2 linked regions of the Saccharomyces cerevisiae S288C genome follow. The protein of the gene in region 2 purifies or fractionates together with the protein of the main gene of each other region. This does not show direct contact. Each region holds a gene or a part of one and is shown on either strand. Other genes may lie near its edges.

Evidence for each region.
Region 1: the proteins of RRG8 (region 2) and IRC19 purify together in Saccharomyces cerevisiae (affinity purification with mass spectrometry, with the first as the bait; 2 studies listed by BioGRID). This does not show direct contact.

What each region holds. Positions count from the first base shown.
Region 1 is NC_001144.5:71,408-74,720, reverse strand, and holds IRC19 (Irc19p), read right to left. Parts: upstream 1,313-3,313; coding exon 620-1,312; downstream 1-619. Other genes in the region: YLL032C (uncharacterized protein), read left to right, coding at 1-451; putative AAA family ATPase RIX7, read left to right, coding at 1,575-3,313. UniProt on the Saccharomyces cerevisiae protein: Involved in sporulation and maintenance of the mitochondrial DNA. Is probably involved in a pathway contributing to genomic integrity.
Region 2 is NC_001148.4:756,666-760,309, reverse strand, and holds RRG8 (Rrg8p), read right to left. Parts: upstream 1,663-3,644; coding exon 829-1,662; downstream 1-828. Other genes in the region: HOB2 (Hob2p), read right to left, coding at 1-285; RGC1 (Rgc1p), read right to left, coding at 2,182-3,644. UniProt on the Saccharomyces cerevisiae protein: Required for respiratory activity and maintenance and expression of the mitochondrial genome.

The sequences.
Region 1 (3,313 bases), on a different chromosome or scaffold from region 2:
TGAGAAGGACCTTATCACTTTTACTTTTGAAAAGGATACTAATGAGAATACTCTAACAAAAGCAATCGAATTACTATCCAATTATTTGGAAACACAAAAGACGAAAATAATATTTAAAAAAATAATTAAAAAATTTGTTCTAGGGTCTGCCTCCAGCAAGAGTAACACCAGTAATAGCAATACCAATGGCAATTTCAGATCAATGAATAATGCCAAAAGTCGTACGACCATCGATAATACCAGCCAATCAGGAGCCTCACCACAACGCCACAAAATGCCTGTTATAACGACGGTAGGAGGAGCCCAAGCCATCAAAGGATATATACCAAACACTTATTACAACGGATATGGGTATGGATACGGATATACATACGAGTACGATTATAATTATGCCAACTCTAATAAAGCTCAAACCAATAATAGGCATAAATATCAAAATGGCAGAAAATGAGAAGGAAAAAAGTTCAGTAGTATTGTAACGTTCTACGCACCTTTTCAATGGATATGCACACCACAAAATATGTCATTGCGCATATCCGCATCTATTACAGTATTTGATTGATATTTTACCATACATACTAAAAAGCTCCGCTCCGCTCCTCTTTTACGATAATGATCTTTATAACCTTGTACCTAATGTCTCATTGAGATATATCAATGTTGTATCGAAATCACTAAATACTTTGAAAAGCGGAATCTTTTTCTTTTCGGTTTTATTTAGCTTAGTTAGCGGACTAGAAGTAGTTTTCAAATGAGAGAATTTGACGTCAAGCTCATCATGGCCTATTCCTCTATGCAAAATCGATCTGTACTTTTCATATTGCATTGTTAAAAGGTTCTTTAAAATTTGCCTGCAATATGTGTTGTCCCTTGCAATATCCCACTTTTGAACTTTTGTTTCGGGCAAGTATGAACAGCTCTTCAGAACAAATTCCAAGGTTCTTTGCATCTCAGTCACGGGGAGTATCCTTTCACAACATTTCGTGTTGCTGAGAAGCTCAAGATTGATTTTCGACCTCAAGCCATCAGGATTGAATACCAAGTATCGTTTGAGTTCGTAGTTTTCTTTCATAAACTTATATCGAACATAATCCCTGTAAGTATCTTTAACCATTTTCACATTCGATATGAAAGGCTTAAGCCTCATAAATCGGCGGTAAAATAGCTTAACAACTGTACTTCTCTCAGGTGAGTCTGCATCTAGCTTTTGAAAACGTGAAGGAAGTTGGTATTTAGAATGCGATTTAATAAGAGTATAGTCTGGAGTTATAATAGCTTTTGCTGTTGTTATCGTAATAGAAGGCTTACGCATTGTGTTATCCGCTTAACTGCGATTAACATGCATACGTATGATATACTCGAGCTAGTCTCATAAGCTTTCTTCATATATGGTTGTCATGGCAAACTTCGATGTTCGTCGATAGTGACAGGTTCCAAAATTTTTCATTCAGCTCATCGCATATTTTGGAAATTCAAACAATGATTAACAACCGATGTGTGAATTAATCTGCGAGTCAGTTAGAATAAAAGATCATTAGGGCCGATAATAGCTACGTGGTGGGAAGGCTGGAATAATGGTTAAAGTAAAGTCGAAAAAGAACTCATTAACAAGTTCTCTAGATAACAAGATCGTCGATCTTATCTATCGTCTCTTGGAAGAAAAAACTTTGGACAGAAAAAGGTCTCTGAGACAAGAATCCCAAGGAGAAGAGGGCGAGAACAACGAGGGTGAAGAAGATGAGGATATATTTGAATCCATGTTTTTCGCTAAAGATTTAACAGCAGGTGAGATTTTTACCTTTTGTTTGACTAAAGATTTATCACTTCAAAGAGTTAAGAAAGTTGTCTTACAAAAGACAATTGACCGCATGCTAAAAGACGTGATTGAATCAGAATTGGAAGAATTTGGTTCTTACCCAGGTTACAACAACGAAGAGGAAGAGAAACCAAGCTTGGAAGAAGAACTAGCTAAGAAAAATATGATGATTGAGCGAGACACAAATGAGATGAACAAACGCATAACTAGCACGTGGTCCAAATCTGGATCTGTTTCCGAGTCTATAACAGAAACTGATGATCCTAAGACAGAAGAGGTTAAAAAATCTAAAAAAAGATCCAAAGAAGGTACATGTAAGGTAAAACGTCAAAAAATCAAGGAAGATAGATCTCCACCTAATTCGTCTCTGAAATCCTTAGGTGGTATGGATGATGTCGTTGCACAACTTATGGAACTAATAGGTCTACCCATTCTTCATCCAGAGATATTTTTATCCACGGGTGTCGAACCACCTAGAGGTGTTCTGTTGCATGGCCCACCGGGTTGCGGTAAGACGTCGATTGCTAATGCGTTAGCTGGAGAATTACAAGTCCCATTTATATCTATTTCTGCACCTTCAGTCGTAAGTGGTATGTCTGGGGAAAGCGAGAAAAAGATTAGGGATTTGTTTGATGAAGCGAGAAGCTTGGCACCATGTCTTGTTTTCTTTGATGAAATAGATGCCATTACACCAAAACGTGATGGAGGAGCCCAAAGAGAAATGGAGAGAAGAATAGTTGCCCAATTATTGACCTCAATGGATGAATTAACGATGGAAAAGACAAATGGAAAACCTGTTATTATCATAGGTGCCACGAATAGACCTGACTCTTTGGATGCAGCATTGAGAAGAGCAGGTAGATTCGATAGAGAAATATGCCTGAATGTCCCGAATGAAGTCTCAAGGTTACATATTTTAAAGAAAATGTCTGATAACCTAAAAATTGATGGTGCTATCGATTTTGCCAAATTGGCAAAATTAACCCCAGGCTTTGTTGGCGCTGATTTAAAGGCTTTAGTTACTGCTGCCGGTACATGCGCTATTAAAAGAATTTTCCAAACCTATGCTAATATAAAATCCACACCAACTACGGCAACGGACAGTTCAGAAGATAACATGGAAATTGATGAAACAGCAAACGGAGATGAATCTAGCCTGAAGAACACTGCGAATATGATCGATCCGTTGCCTTTATCCGTAGTCCAACAATTTATTCGTAATTATCCTGAGCCTTTATCAGGAGAGCAGTTATCATTATTATCGATTAAGTACGAAGATTTTTTGAAAGCGTTGCCAACAATTCAACCAACAGCAAAGAGAGAAGGGTTCGCTACGGTACCTGATGTTACTTGGGCTAATGTAGGCGCATTGCAAAGAGTTAGACTTGAATTAAATATGGCTATTGTGCAACCCATCAAGAGACCAGAGCTTTATGAAAAAGTGGGAATTAGCGCCCCTGGTGGTGTTTTATTGTGGGGACCACCAGGTTGTGGTAA
Region 2 (3,644 bases):
AAATAACTTCAAATCAACATTATGAAACACAATTCCGGGTTTCCAACCTATTCGCAAGGTTATCTTGCCAATATATATTTGAGCAAAATCAGTTAAGATAAACGCTCGTCTTATTGACGTACCAAAAAAGTATCCAAATGAAATTTTTCGTATTGTGGAATGGCGCAGCATCAATATCCATGACATGAGAATACTAGCGATTTTCTGAATTGATATAATAAAAAGCATAAAGCCTAATAATAGTTTAGACACATCCCTTATTTGAGACCACGGTAACATAGACATTGTAGATTTTTTTTCTTGCAATAAACAGGATACTCCAGCTACTAGATATTATGGATGACAAGCCTACTCGAGAAATTGATCAGCAAAACTAAATTGAATGCTTAGCTTTTAAATGTAAGCCTTTTCGTGGGAAAAAGTGTATGATTTAGTTTTCAAAGAAGTACCTTCTATAATGGTAAATTATTGGTTGTGCTCTTGAATATAATGCATGTGTATGCCCTTGAAGTTTTTAATACAAAGCCACTAGTGCAAACAAATCAACAAATCTATTTACCCTTAATGTTCCTCTTTATCAATCATACAGCCTTGCAGATGGATGGTAAGTGATGGACTATAGAACACCTCAGAGATATTTTACGTAGATGTGCGGGATTAAGGGTTCTGAATTCTCCTGCCCGAGGCGCCCAAATTTTTCATTTTCGGATTGCAAAATGATGCCATTCGCTGACAGCCAGTTTTGTATTCATTGAATAAGAATAATGGCAAATTCAGAGAGACAATTCCAGCGATATATCCCGCTTTCCTTCCTTTTTTCTTCCGCAATCAGTTAACTGAATGAAACAATAATGTACTATAAAGGTGTTTGATGAGATCCTTGTCATTGTCGGCATCCAGGTAAATTCCATTAGTAACTGCATCTTTACTCACGATAGCTTCTAGAGTTGGCTCGTGGAGATAACCAAGGTTAAAGACAGACTGTGTAATTGGTAGCCCTTTACCATGACTAACTACTTGTATTTCAATCGGGGGTGTTTTTCTCTTGTCACAAATGAGTAAAACACGATTTATCGAAGAAGGTCCAACATTCGGTATCACTGAAAGTCTTGCTTTTATAAATGCGTGCAAGTTAGCATTGTATTCCGTTATAAATGTAGAGGAATCAACTTCTAGGCTCTTTGGAGTTGATGTTTGCAATACCGAGATTGGGAACCATGACGTCGCAGCCGCCAAGTTGTCTTGTACAATGGAGGCTGAATTCAATACGTACGAGCTTTTGTATGATTTGGAATAATCTAGTGTAGGTACCAGTTTTAGTTTATCTTTATCAGCATGCTGATCTTTGCCAGTTGATGGTACCACTTTCAATGGAATTAGTAATTCTCTACACGATTTTAATTTTGAGATTTTTTCTGCTCTCATTGGAGAAGCTAAAAGCCTACCATATAAGTTATTTTTTAAATTGAAATTTTCCAAATGGAACTGCCCCACCATTTCCTCTTCATCTTTGAAATAGAGCTTCTTGCGCTTATCCGACCATTTCTCGAAGTTTGTAATGAGCGGAGAAACATCTTTGACTCGTTGGGCACAGTTTTTATTAATGACTCTCGTTGGACAATCTATGAGTAACTTCTTATATGCCGATTTAGGTAAACCCATATTTGATTTTGAGAGGTTCCCAGGAGAATTCACAACAAAATATTATTCGAAGGCTCCTATCGTCATCATGTACCGTGGCGCATTGCCAACCTGTCTTATAGAAAGGCCGATGTCGTAAGCGGACCGGAAAACTGGAGATGAACAGGCATTGCCAATCCTACCGCCACTGTAAAAAACAAGTAAGAAAAAGATAATTATGGACGCTGGCTTTCATTTTAAAATAACATCAAGTTCAGATGATACTTCTGAAAAATACCCAATCAGGAATCTATTTTTATTTGGTAGAAGACTACTTTGTTTACTTATAAAAACATGATAACTATCTAAGAATATATGAACTGATTGCGTTTAACTTAACTTTTCCATTTTGTCTTAATCTTCTTCGTTTCCGGTAGTTAATGGGTTTGTATTTTCAGCAGGAACATGACCCAGGACTTTCTTGTTGCTTATTACACTTATCAAGGAACCAAATGACATGCTCTTCATCTGTGCAGTCTTATTGGACAGGTTTTCATAGTGTCACTTACTTGACGCGGATGTAGCAGGTACAGTATTAGTACTTCCCTCCTTGCGCGAGTGAAGAGACTTATCATTCGATACAGTAGATGTTAGTGGGACGTTTTCCGCACTATATGTCTTTTTCAAACTGCTATAAGGAGCTTCAACACCTTTAGATGTAAGCGGTTCCTTCAACGTTAGACGTGATTGTGAGGCGCCCTTCTCATTGCCGTAGATCAATCGTGAGTCATTACCTTCTTTCCTTGGACCACATTGATGGGGAATATGACAAGCTGAACTTTTGCGAGAGCCACTGCAGTTTTGAGTTCTGTTTTCCTCGAACAATGGAGACTCCATCTCAAAAGGTGAAAGATCTGACCCTCGTCTTGCTTCCGAATTGCAATTCAATGGTATTCCAAAATATCCGTTTGCATTACCATCCAATGCTAGACAACTGGGTGAAACACCTGGTAAGTTCATTAATGGCGAAGGATAAAAATCAACCCGTTGGTTGTGAATGGATGCAACACTGGAGGCACGAGACGATTTATGACTACTATCTGAATACGCGCTTGCCGGAATAATGGCTTCATCCCCATGATTACTAACAGCTATTTGAGGTACCTCTCCGGGAGCCGATGCTTTTCGCGAAGAGGATGCCATTAAGTTATCTGCTGACCGGTTGTAAAGCATACCTTCCCCAGTATAAGGTGAATAAGGCGATTTGCAAGGGGTTCTAATTGTGTAACTCATACCATTTTGTGGAGCACTGTTTTTCGTTTCTCCCACTATGGCCAGATTACCATTTTCATCAATGGCTGGTGTATTGACTTTTGACCTGTATACGGAATTCATAGCGCCTGCATTCATATTTGCGCTTTTTGGGATGTCTATATAACGAGGACGATTTGCCCTCTTCCTAGTGTTTAACGTGGTAACAGAGGAAGATGGCGTTACTTTTTCAGAAAGGTTAACAAAACTGTCTACTGGAGTGATATATGTACTGTTTTTGGACCTTTGAGAGCTCTTTCCATTATTATGGTTTCTACTTTTCAGAATCTTTTCTTCAATGAAGTTCGACCTCTCCTGAGTAGAATTGAAACTTGTAAGCGCTTTTATGTCCTGAACCCATTTCTTGAAATTTTTTGATTCCTCTGGAGTTGGTTCAAGACTTGCGGAAAATATTTTAAACGTCCATTCAACGCGCTTCTCGCAAATTGACTTCTTATTGATGTTAGCTTCTTCTTTAGCCTTTTTTTGTTCCTTGGGCACGGAAGAACTCTTTAGAAATTTCGGAACGGACACCATCGAGAGAGCTGAAGGCGTACGTTGATGTTTGCCCTTATTTGAAGCAAGCGTCTTTGTTGGACATGCCAAATCTGAGGTCGTGCTTGATTCTTTTGTACATGTGTCCTCTGGTGAATGATAACTAGCATACCCTTGTAAAACAAAAGTTGAGTCAGTACTATCCTTTAATGAGCAAT